3 linked regions of the Sus scrofa genome follow. The protein of the gene in region 3 interacts with the protein of the main gene of each other region in a pairwise test. Links are inferred from orthologs where the notes say so. Each region holds a gene or a part of one and is shown on either strand. Other genes may lie near its edges.

Region 1 (4,150 bases), on a different chromosome or scaffold from region 3:
CCCCTAGCCTGGGAACTTCCTTGTGTCACAAGAGCGGCTCAAAAACGGAAAAAAGAGAGATAGAGAGAAAAAAAAGAAAAAGAGGAGTTCCCGTCGTGGTGCAGCAGAAATGAATCCGACTAGGAACAATGAGGTTGTGAGTTCGATCCCTGGCCTTGCTCAGTGGGTTAAGGCTCCGGTGTTGCTGTGAGCTGTGGTGTAGGTCACAGATGCTGCTCGGATCTGGTGCTGGGGTGCAGGCTGGCAGCCACAGCTCCAATTGTACCTCTAGCCTGGGAAGCTCCATATGCCCTGGGTTTGGCCCTCAAAAGACAAAATGACAAAAGACAAAAAGAAAAAAAAGAAAAAAGAAAGAAAAGGAAATCAATGATTTCTCAAGTCCTCATGGAACACTTCTGAAAGCCCAACTTGGATTAAGAAGCAAAGAGATACAGGCAGAATTCCTGTTTATAGAAGCTTACAAGTAAGCAGGGTCAGACACTCTCCCACAATGACTAAATGAGAAGAGAATTCAATTCATTTAAGGAGCAGAAAAGATTAAAATACAAATAGCACATAATCAAGCACTATGCTGGGAACAACCCTCATCAGTCAACACACAGCAGCCTATGTGTAAGCCTTATATAAAATTCCATTTTAACCAGGCAAATAACCCTCCTTAAAACCCTTCCCTGGTCCTGCCATCACCAGATAAAAGCCCCCCAAGAATCTCCTGCATCTTTTCCCCTATCAGCCACCACAGCTCTGCCCTGCACTTTTTCACTTTTCAAAAACCACCTCCCGGGAGTTACTGCCCTCTTCTCCTTTAGTTGCCCCACGCCCACATTCCCACTACCCCTAAAATTCCCACCCCATCTTGCTAGTCTGAATGTTACTCATTCTTCAGGACACTTTCAGATACATTTCACTCCCTGCGGTCCCTCCAGACACTTGGGGTGTCCCCCCTCAGTGACCTCTCTTAGCTCACACTGCTCACATTTATGGCAAGGATCTCTGCTGTCCTTCTCCCTTAAAGTGCCTACTTTCTGGAGAAGAAAATGATGGCTTGGAAGGTCCCCAAAATTCAAATCCTTCAACACTTCTTAATTTTCCACCTGAGAATCAGTAACTCTTAAAACTAACGTTATCTGTCATGAAATGGATCGAATAAAAATCAAATCTTCTTGCACCTCTGGGAAGCTTCCTTGGTACTGCTTAAGTTACTTATTAGTAACCTTAATAGACTTGGGGGGGGGGGTAAGTGTACTTTTGCAGCCTTAGGTTTACAGAAAAAGGTACAACAATGAGTTAATCTCAAAAACAAAACAAAAGCCACAACTCTTCAGATCCAAAAAACGACTCCCCAGGTGATGCTGTAAACTCATCCTGACCAATTTTCACATCTAAGCTCATGAGCAAAGCGAGCCCCCATAGCCCACGGACACATTTCCCAATCACAGGGCTTGGCCATCAGCGTTGAGACACCACCAGCAGACTCTGATCTACTCCCTGAAGCGGCTGGGTCCCTCCTCCTTGTCGACTAAACTTCCGTGATGAGCATCACCTCTGCTCTCCTCCAAGACGGTTCGGAAGCAGGGACTTGTGCTCCTAACCTCAGGCCCACAACTTTGTCCTCAATCATAGGGCGAAAGTTAGGACCAGTCTTCCAGCTCCCACGCCGCGAAAGACAGCATCCTCCCAGCTCCCGGACCCTTCCCTCTCTGAGACCGACGCGGGTTCCCGAGGTCCCGGCGGCCCTGCCCAGGCCGGGCTGCGACGGGTCCCCAAGGAGCCCAAGGCACGACCCAGCCGGTCACCACCACAGGTGTCCCTTGGTACTCTGCCGACTGGACTGAGTGAGCCGGTCGGAGGGAAGCCATCCCGCGAGAGCTGGACAGGCGGCAGGAGGCGGCCAGGAAACGAGACGCGTCTGTCCGTCGGAGTTGGGCCGGGCCGCGGGCAACTTGGCGACAAGCGCCCTAAAACGGCAGGCCGAACGCGCAGAGGATGAAGGGGGCCGGCGACGGCCTGGGACCGGCCAGGGCCCCGCCACCGGGCCCTGGGCTGGGACGAAGGACGGCAAGAGGGACCGGAGCGAGATGGCCCCGGCCGGGTGGACAGCCTAGACCAATGACCCAGCAGCCCCTGTCGGGACGGCACCGCCACCGCGAGTCGCGAACCGCGCCCCCCTCGGGTCCCGTCCGTCCGCCCCGTACCTCGCCGGCTGCTCCACCCGCGTCGGGACCGCAGCTCTCCCCGCGTCGCTCGAGTAGGTCCCGGCGCCAGTCCACAACCCGCCCTCACGCCGGCCCTCCCTCTCGCACGCCCCGCCCCCGGCGCCGCGAGCGCACGCCACGCACGCATGACGTCACTTCCGGGGCTCGGAGCTCGCCGGGAGGGTGTAGGTGCCCATCGGCATCTGCCCTGGGTGGCGCGAGGGCGAGGCTGGCGTGGATGACAGTGGCGACAAAGCCGTCGGGCATGAGGAAGGAGGCGCCCTCAGCCCTAGTGCTGGGTCCCTGACCTGGAGCGTTCAGAAGCCGACGGAGAAGCCGGCGTTTCCCTGTCTTTTCCTCACCCACTGTATTTGGGAATCCCACTGAGAGAGACGCTGCTCATCCTTAGCTCGAAATGGGAGGCACTGGAAAGGCTGCGGGAGAGAAGTCTTTGGGCCAGTGGACAGTTGCAGTCTGTGGGGAATGAGGCTGCCTGAGAAAGTAATGAATCCCATAGCTTCACACGGATCTTAGGATTTTGAACGTGGTTTGAGTTTAAAGGACCTTAAAGAGAGTGACTGACCTAGAAGCAGGTTTTATAGCTGAGCATAACTGAATTCCAGAGGTTAATAAGTTACCCAGTGTCACACAGTATTAATGATCGAGTCATAAATGGAATCCAGTTCTCCGTGATTCCCATTTCAGGAATGTTGGAGACAGCGGCTGCCTCTGTATTCTGGATGGTATCTATGGCACAAAGTGCAGCCACGACTGGGAGAAAAAAAAAGAAAAAAGAAAAGAAAATACTAGAGTACAGTGTCTGGAGGGAGACCTAAGTTGGAATACCAGGTTTGCTAAATGCTGCCTCTGATCTTGGACAGGTTGTCTAATTTCTCAGTCTTTGCTCATTATTTGCCAAATGGAGATTGATTCATTCCTCAGATTATTCCTAAATTCTGTAGGGAAGCAGAATATGCCACCCAAAAATATGCCTCTGAGAAAGCAGAGAAGCCCTGAAAACAAACCAGAAGTTAACCTTTTGTACAGGAAATGAAGCTAATGAAGGAGATCACGTTAGTAAAGGGGTCTCCCTCTGTACCTGGGAGAGAAGGATGACTCTTAGGTCACTAGAAGCTCAACTATGGATAAGACACTGACTTAGAGCTGCATGACAAACCTTAAGCTTATTTTTATTCCCCTGGTCACCTCCCATAACTGGTCTCCCCTACACACACACACACACACACACAAACACCTTTCCTGTTTTTTCTTTATTGGAAAATGGTATTTAAGTGGGCATTCTAAGCCTTTTCTCAGGGTATCTCCTTTGTATGTGTGAGGTATACATGGTAATAATTTTCAGTTTGTTTTTTTGCTTATTACTCTTTTATTATAACTTAGAAGAGCAGAGGGAAAATGATTTCCCCTCCCCTACAGCACCTAATGTGTGTGCTAGGCCAAGGATACCAGACTGTTAAAAAGTGGTGGGGGGGGTGGGGGAGTACCTATGCTGAGAAGCTTACATTCTAGGGAAGAGGTGGTGGGGGGGGAATAAGTAAATAATAAATACATTATGTACAATAGTACATGAGACAGCAGTGATTGCTTTGAAGAAAAATCATGCAAGGAAGGCCAGCCAGTCAACCAGGAAGACTGAGGTTTTTGGGTGGACAGCAAAGCCCTGGCTAAGGAGGTGACTATGCAACTATTTGGGCAAAAGTGTTCTAGGTGCAGGGAACAGCAAGTGCAGAGGCCCTCTGGACATCACCAGCCTGTGTAGCAGTGAATGGAGGGGAGGTAGGAGAGGAGGTCAAAAGGTAATGGGCCATGGGGAAGGGACTAGCCAAAGTGAGGACATAGGAAGGTCTGACTCACTGGGGCCATTAAGGGAACAAACTACCACACTTGCCTCTGAGAGAAGGGGTGGTGGTGGTAGGGTACTGAGAAGGGGCACC
Region 2 (4,105 bases), on a different chromosome or scaffold from region 3:
TTAACTTAAAGGCAAAATGAACCCTAAAATGAACTCATGCTATCAAGGACCAGAGTTGCAAGAGAATCTGTACAAGAAGGCTCCTCTTCCTCCAAACAGAGACAGTCCCAGAATGATAAAAATAACCAAGGAAAAAGGGTTGAGAAAAGAGAAGATACAAAGTTCTACTAAAAAGGAAATGACCTGGGGAAAAATAAATGGCACCTATCCAAGCCTGATCCATGTTGCAAGTCCCACCAGAAGCAGATAATCAGATACCATACTCTTGCCCACCCAACTCTCCCAGGATTGTTAGATACCTGAGGTAGCTCAGGTGAAGTCCGGGGCTCCTGTGGGTCTCCACCTCCACATCACTGCTGGGTTCTGAACAGGAGAAAAACAGAGACTTGGGTGTGAGAAGGGATTAGAACAGAGGACTATGGGGTGGTTACAAGAATAAAGTCTAATCAAATGGCAAGAGCTCTGGGAACTAAGATTTCCTTAGGGTACAAATTGAACTTCACCTGTCAAAGGCAGAAGCTATCAGTAAGAAGAGTATAATAAGGAACAGAACAAATTTGGACAGCCTAGGAGGATGAGTTGGAAAAAAACCAGTCCTGAGTGAACAAAGGGTGAGGGGCGTCCTGCCCCAAGATGAAGGAGGATGCGTGGATCGTAGCCTGGTCTAGGGTTGGCGTTAAGAACTCCGAATAGGGAGCCGTGCAAGGGCAGCGACTGACAGCGCAGTGGGATGGCAGATTAGACTTGGGGGCGGTGATTATGACGCTTCGAAACACCCCAGAGTTTGCGAAAAGTCCTAGGAGTTTCCCAAAGCAAGTCTTCTAGTCTGGCAGGTTCCTGTGCAGTACCGCCAGAGCTCAGCCGGGGACCAGGTGAACAGGACACTAGAGGAGCACGAAGTGAAGCGGGGAGGGGGACTCCAGGTGACATGAGGCTGAGGGGATGGGCAGGGCTGTGACGTCACGGAGCTGGCGTTTGCTCGCAAAGCGGGGTCAGTCAGAAAAGGGGTTCAGCCCTAGGACGTGAGGCAGAGGAAACTCAGTCCTGGGGGGCCTTGTGTAGCCCGGCCGAGCCCAGCCGCTGGGCCGGCCCCGACTCCTCCCCTCCGGGCGCGGCCTCCACCTAAGTCTCCCGCCTCCCTCACCTGCCGCCGCCGCCGTAGTTGCTGCTGCCGCCTGCCGGTCCTCTAGCTTCGACAAAGAGCCGCCTACCCTATCGCCCTTCCGCTTCCTGCGGAAGAAATGACGCTCTAGCCGCCAGACCCGGAACTATACTCTATGGCTCACGAAGCACTTGCGCGATTAGCCGCAGGAAGTTCCCAGCAGGCTTTGCGTGTCACCATGGCAACCGGACCCAACAGCACAGCAAAGAGCCCCAAGCGCGGGACGTAGCAAATGTAGCCCTTTCGGACGATGAGCGGAACTGTTTGCCCACACGCCGGCGAAATCAACTTGAAAGCGGTCCCTGACGTGTGTAACGCCCTTTCCAGGAAATAAGAGCCACCCAACACTCCAGCAACTCCCAGGGTCCAGAACCAGTCGGCCAGGGGCGGGGCCCGCACCCCCGACTCAGTGTAGATATTCTCTAAAGCGAGTACTCATACAGAACACCCCAGCCAATGAACCATAAAAACCACATCAACAGACAAGATGACTTTTTTTCTTCAGCTAAAACAGCAGATAATTTATTGTACACGTGTTACATTCAGCCACAACTGAGAACAGAACTAGTCCAGAAAGTCACAGGTCCAGGGCAAAAAACCAAAAGGGACCATTTTGATATGAGCAAGGTGGGTCTCAGAGTGGTCCAGGCGATCAGAACGGCGAAAAGTTGTTATAGATCCATTGAGACAAGTTCTAGACAGAAGGCATGCAGTCCAACAAATTGTACCAACGTCCCTGGCCTCTGGGATTTCGTTTCTGCTCCTGTGGCTTCCACGGTGTACAAGTTTACTTGGACCTCTGCCTCATCTTTCTTCTTTTGCGCTTCAGCCTGAAAACCAGACACGAGAATGCACCTCCTGCCCACAAACCCAATCTTCTTTCCCTCCCATCTAAAATGTGCATACCATACAAGGGGTGGGTAAAAAAAATCAACGAACACTACGGTTCTATCCTCTTGTGTCCAATCCCTGGTTTTGCCAAGTCAATGCTCATGTTTTTCATCTTAAGCTGTTTAGATTTCTAAACCAAATGTTCCTCCCAAGCTTCGCCCAAGGTGTGCTCCAGTTCCCCCACCCTGTACTTGCAGTCTCAGCATACCTGCGCATTCGCTTCTTCCTCCACTGTCAACCGATCACAACCAGAAGCAGAGAATAAAACGAGATATCATTAGTTGTAGCAACGAGTTTAGGGAGGAATATAAATAGTGTAATTTTTAACCAGACAGGTTTAACCACTTAGGAGGACTTAGTCGCAGTAATCACATCAACAACTTGGACTCCCACCCGGATCCCCGCTGTAAAACCCCAATCCCGCATGCGCTATCCTATTCCCGCTCTCCACCCCCACTTAACTCCCAGCTTCTGCTTCTCCCCAAACTATCCTCCCTGTCCCACCAGCTCTTGGGCACCCTTGAGAACCTAGCGATCCGAGAACGATGGCGGACTTCCCTTGCCTGGGTCTCCCCTGCAACTGCCAATTCTTAGAGCCTCAGCTCACTAACGGGGACTGCTTACCTTCGCTCTCATGGCGCGGAGGTTTCTACGGGTAAAGAAAAAAAGTCTACAGTTAGTTCGCTGTAATGATGGCAATCGCAGAGATCAGATGTTTACGGATTGTACTCGGAACCGGAGAGAGCCCAAACCGAGACTCACCTCAGAAGATGGCGCTAAGGCCGAGAGAGCGCTAGGGGCCCGCCTACGGATATTTAATGCAATGCTCGGTGTCGTCACTTCCGTGGTCTCGCCCTGCCCCCAGGGGCGGGGCTGCGGGAGGGTAATAACAATAGCTTTTGGCCCTTTGGGTTCGTGGTAAGTGTTTGAGTTGGGACAGTTCTCTTGGAAAATAGACTATTTTGAGTGTGAGTTACAAAATTTCCCTTCCCCAGGTTTTATTATAAGGATACTATATTATTTAAATATGAGCATGTATTTCCAGTAAGAGACCCAGAAGTGCAGAAAAGCGTAGGTTAGTGACTTCCGTCTTCCCTCTCATTGCTTCATGGGAGTTGCAGTTTCCCGGCGACACCCTCCATTTTACTGTGGATAGATGCAGAGTTTACAAAAACTGGTTTGCCTTATGTTCTGAACCTAAGTTGCTGCAGGGAGATTCTATTTCGGAACTTCCAAAGGTTCTAAGATTCCAGAACGTGGAAGGATGTAAAGTGGGGAGTCGAGAAAGCTTGTCATACTACAGAGACCTTTGGCACTATTTAAGATAGATCAACTCTTTTTCTAGCCAACTCCAACGCCTGAGGCAGAATGTCACTAGATTCCTGGCCACAAAGCATCTGGCTTAGAATATACTTAAGTGATTCTCCCTCTACACAACGTGAAGATCAAATCAAAGAACAGAAGGGAAGCTAGCTAGGATCGGCTAGACATTTCTTTAGGACAAGAATGGTATTTGATGGTAAGATAACTTGCCAGTCTCCTCGTATGATTGGGTCAGAAGCACCCAGAAAAAGACTCCCAAAGATTTGGTTACAGGAAACTTGAGTTAGGATGAAAGGGAACCTTTAATCATGCAGACTTCGCCTTATTCACTGTAAAATACAGTAAAGGCTTATTATAATCCTTTTTTTTTAGTGGTTTCCTTTTATAACCTTTCCCCTTTTTAGCTCTGGAAAAAAAAATATCTAAATTTAGGACCCTTGTTCCAAGTGCTTAGGTGGTTTTAGTATTATCTCCATCAGAATGTAAGTTTTTGGTTTTTTGGCCCCGCCCACTGCATGCAAAAGTTGAAGTTCCTAGGCCAGGCAGGCCACAGCAGCGACCTGAGCCACTGCAGTGACAACGCCAGATCCTTAACCCACTGCACCACCAGGGGAGCTCCTAGAATGGAATAAGTTTTTGAAAACAAAAATAAAAACCCTAAGAGTTCCTGCCCCAGTGCAGTGGGTTAAGAATCCAACAGCGGGAGTTCCTGTCGTGGCGCAGTGGTTA
Region 3 (4,150 bases):
TCCGCTGAGTTACGAGGACATTCGCTCCCTGCATGACTGCCAGCTGAGCAGCATTGGGAGGGCATCCAGGGGGAGGAGGCTGAAAGGAAAAGACAAGGTTGATTGGGCACCGGGCAGCTGATACGAGAGAAGTGGACAAAGATGAAAGAGGACCGGTCAGGAAGATGGCAACGTGCTACTTGAGCCAGCAGTGTGGGTGAAGCAGGTCTATATTCTCTGTGAGCCCCAAGACATAAACAGAAAACAGATCCTACCCCTCATTTAAAGGGTCCCAGATCCAAGATAAAGCCTAGGGATCCCTCCTGGGTATGCACAGTCCAGACCCATAAGCATTTGCAGGGTGGAAAATCCCTCTGACTCCCATTCCAAAAAATGGGGAGGGGTTACCAGGTCCATGGCCCTACACCACAGAGTTCCTCAACAGTTTTCACATGGATAATCTGAAGGCTCTACCTGATGACAGCATTCTCACCTCATTGTTAGCATATGGTTACTGCGTGAATGGCCCTAGCAAGGACCATTTGGGCTCTAGTTACCATACATAGGGAAACTAAGTGGGAGACATAGTAAAAGCCCTAGTAAAGTCTTCCTAAAGGGAACTTAACAGGGATACGCATTCTACTTTTTAATCATCATGGCTCCTGATAAAATGCTGTGCAAATATTAAGTAAATGCTTATGGAATGAATGAGGAGTGTTACTAGACCAGTACCAAAGTGAACTGGAAAAGCAGCAGGCAGGACTCCTAAGACAGAAACAAAGGAATCTGGTTAACTCAGACCTCAGTGAATATGCCAGAGGCTACTGACTTCCCACAGTTCTCCTGCCCCCTCAAGTGAATTCTGCCTGATTACTGGACGTCAGTGGTTGCACCAATACCAGCAACTACTGCCCAGGGATGATGAAAGGATGACTATGTAGTCATTTCAGAAAGTTAATATACACAAGGGCTGAGGTTTTTGTGATAAAGGCATACTCACAGGAATGTTGCCAGCAGTAGCGCCAGCTCCAAATCTGGCACCTGTATCATACCCTCCTTCCACCAGCACTGTTGAACCAGGTGGATAGATGGGACCAACTGGATAATAAGCCATGGGGATTGTGGAACCTAAAGGTCCAACAGCCACAGACTGGGCCATGGGAAGGTACAGTGAGGCGCCAGGAAATGCAGCTGACATGGTGGGGACTGTGGCAGCCCCTGGGTGCACAAAGCTCGGACGATAGAGCTAGAAGAGGCAGAAGAGAGGGCAACACGTTACTTTATGACATTCTTATTTCAGATCTCTTTCATGAGGCAATTCTTAATTATTGTGCAGATTACACTCTGAGTTACACAAGTTGCCTTTCCACCAGCCACTCAATATCCTCCTGGATCACTTCCTGCTAGAAATAATGTTGGGCTCAAAGAACGCTAACTCATCTTCTCAACTTCAGCCTGTGCCAAAGAGCAAAATAATCAGATAATGCCTTCTCAACCCCAACTGAAATTGCTGAACTATAAAGAGGTTTTAGATTATCCACGTGAGCTCTCTCTCCTGTTTGTGGAGAGTAAATACATGTGTGGAGCCAGACTTAGCTAAAGACTGAAAATGTGATCCAAGAGTACTCAGTTCAAGTCTAGTAAACTGGAAGCACCTCTGAATAGGCAGGTGGAGCATCAGTATAGGGTGGAGCCTGAGGAAGATGCAAGGTCTGAGGGTACACAGGATTCCCGGGAGGCTGCACCGGGTAGGTTGGCTGCGTTGGATATTGACCTGGAAGACAGGAAAAAAAACAAAAAACAAAAAAAAGAATGTTGCCTACCACACAGAGCAACCAAAATGGGGCAGAGCATACTGGGTAGCTAACCTCACTGAGCCAGCAAGAGGTTTGCAAAAACACTGTCCTAGAGGGCCTGATTCCTGGAACCAAGAAAATAAACACTCTTTGTACCCTTATAACTGAGATGCTGGATTCTAACTGGGCTGGAAGGTCTCTTTACAGTAGCACACTGGTACAAGGGGAAAGTCTATCTAGGCCCAAGATCCTTCCAGAATGGGCATGTCTGCGCACCCATTCCTGTCGATGTTTTAAGTGTGTGCGTCCTCTCTGCTCTGGTGGTCCCCCAGGGCCTGGCTGAAACTGGCCTAGAGCTCGTGAGTAACGGTGTTTGTAGTCCTCCACCTCACAGGTTCCTACTCAAGGTCGACTTCCAAATAAAAAGAGTGGTGAAAGTGAGCCTTGGGATGGGAGAGGAGGTGGAGGCGAATGTCCTAACACAGGAACTGGGAGACGTTCAGGCGGCCAGCGAGGTTAAGGGGAAAGAGACCCTTCGGCCTGCCCGGCCCGCCCACCAGGGCCGGCAATTCACTAGTTAAGCCCTGGGGCCTGCCTGTGGTTCCGGAGCGCGGCGCCCCGCCTCCGCAGGCTCTCCATTGGCCTACCCAAATATCAGCTCTAGCTCCCCATTTGCGCCTGCAGATGCCCATCACGACAAGCCTTCTCGCCCCCCCCCCCGCTCCAACGGCCCCCCACTCGAGCCCGGAGCTCCAAACTGCGCCACAGAGTTTAAGGGGGAAAAGGCCAGGAGGGGGCGAGCAGCCGTAGTTCGGGGATGACGAAGGCGTCTGGCGCAACCCCCGGCACTACAGCTGGCCCAGGAGCGCGGCGCAACTAGCCCCAGGCCTGGCTTTTGATGACCCTTGGTCCCGGGCCCGCTCTCTCCGGGCCAGCACTATTCTCCCCGATGGCCTCAGCTACCCCCTGTCCTTGCCTTTGCTGTTCATGGTGGCTGCGGGTCCGGTTCAGCTCGGCGTCGCGGACGGTTATTTTTTTCGTCCTCTTCCTGTTCGTAGTCACTTCCGTGTCACGTGACGATTCGTCCGCCTAGCGTCACCCGACGCCCGAATGCCGCTGCCACCGGAAACCCCGCCCCTTCGCCAGGTCTCCAGTAGCTGGAGGAAGGACCCGCGTGATCCGCCCACTCACTTTGGCCCCGCCCACTGGGTCGAGCCCTCCAACCCCCACCCTTGTCCCTTGATTGGAAGAAAACAAAGTACAGGTATTGTCTCAAAACAGTATCTTTTCTCTCTTGGTCGCTCTGAGGCAGTACCTTCACACTGCTCCCCGAAACCCTTCCCACCTACGCACTGCAACTCAAGGTCACCTTACTTTGAGAGTCTTTCCACAGGGGGCACAGTGCTACGAATTTCTCTAACTGCCTGAAATACGCTCCTCAAACCCTTGATTTATCCCGTGTTCCCCTCCCATTAAACCCAACTTAAGCCTCAACTCCATAGAGGTTTATTTTGCTGGTCGTATTCACATCTGTCCTTTTCTGACTTAGACCATCACTCGAATTTTCTCAGCCTGTCCATTCTACCGACAGGCTTCTGTGTTTATTTCAGTGTCGCTTTCTCACTAAAAGGAAGGGTATGCTGTGCTGTGAACCCCCCCCCCCCCCACACACACTACAGCTAACACTGAAACTGGCATTCTTGTGGTCCCCAAGGAGTGCCTGTGGCCCTGCCCTTCCTTTGGTACCTGTTACAGGCAACTGTGTGATACCTCATGTATATTTTCCTTTGTGTATCTCCTAAATTAATTGTTCTTGGAGTTCTCTTGTGGCTCAGTGGTCTAAGGACCTGGCGTTGTCGCTGCTGTGGCTCTGGTTATAGCTATGGCAAGGGTTTGACCCCTGGCGTGGGAATTTCTGCATTCCTAGCTGAGGCAAAACAAAACAAAACAAAACAAAACAAAAACCTTGTTCTTAAGGGCAAAGATGGCATCCTTTCAGGCAGCAAATAAGTTTTTCCTTCCATTCTTCGTTTTAAAATATCTGCTGGTGTTGCTCTGTGCAAGTAGAGATGGAGCTGGACAAGACAGGCAAACATTGTTTTCTTATGGAATTTACATTCTATACTTCAGTAAGAACATTAGAAAAGCATCTGAAAAGGGAAAACTTTGGAAAGAAAAGCCCTCAGTAAACCGTAGAAGCCTGATAAATATTTGCTGATGAATGATTTAAACCACTGATTTCAGCTCAGCAATCCCTTGCTTTTGTTTCCAGTAGCATATTATGCTCAGAGTTTTCAGAGCAGAGCACCCCTGCAATGCTCTGGGGGGTCTTCATGAATCTTCACAACAGCCCTGTGTGATAGCCAGGACTTGTT

What was found.
Region 1: the proteins of DAZAP2 (region 3) and RABGEF1 interact in binary tests that used the Homo sapiens proteins (3 or more experiments, as listed by UniProt). The two-hybrid records come from large-scale screens. The link is inferred for Sus scrofa from reciprocal best matches to the Homo sapiens genes DAZAP2 and RABGEF1.
Region 2: the proteins of DAZAP2 (region 3) and ZC3H10 interact in binary tests that used the Homo sapiens proteins (3 or more experiments, as listed by UniProt). The two-hybrid records come from large-scale screens. The link is inferred for Sus scrofa from reciprocal best matches to the Homo sapiens genes DAZAP2 and ZC3H10.

The regions. Positions count from the first base shown.
Region 1 is NC_010445.4:16,374,285-16,378,434, forward strand, and holds the start of RABGEF1 (rab5 GDP/GTP exchange factor), read right to left. Parts: upstream 2,312-4,150; 5' UTR 2,196-2,311; intron 1-2,195. UniProt on the Homo sapiens protein: Rab effector protein acting as linker between gamma-adaptin, RAB4A or RAB5A. Involved in endocytic membrane fusion and membrane trafficking of recycling endosomes. Stimulates nucleotide exchange on RAB5A. Can act as a ubiquitin ligase.
Region 2 is NC_010447.5:21,505,327-21,509,431, reverse strand, and holds the start of ZC3H10 (zinc finger CCCH domain-containing protein 10), read right to left. Parts: upstream 2,923-4,105; 5' UTR 2,816-2,922; intron 2,703-2,815; 5' UTR 2,678-2,702; intron 2,285-2,677; 5' UTR 2,262-2,284; intron 1,993-2,261; 5' UTR 1,145-1,992; intron 364-1,144; 5' UTR 300-363; intron 1-299. UniProt on the Homo sapiens protein: Specific regulator of miRNA biogenesis. Binds, via the C3H1-type zinc finger domains, to the binding motif 5'-GCAGCGC-3' on microRNA pri-MIR143 and negatively regulates the processing to mature microRNA.
Region 3 is NW_018085018.1:160,734-164,883, forward strand, and holds the start of DAZAP2 (DAZ-associated protein 2), read right to left. Parts: upstream 2,830-4,150; 5' UTR 2,765-2,829; coding exon 2,752-2,764; intron 1,754-2,751; coding exon 1,635-1,753; intron 1,226-1,634; coding exon 980-1,225; intron 80-979; coding exon 1-79. UniProt on the Homo sapiens protein: In unstressed cells, promotes SIAH1-mediated polyubiquitination and degradation of the serine/threonine-protein kinase HIPK2, probably by acting as a loading factor that potentiates complex formation between HIPK2 and ubiquitin ligase SIAH1.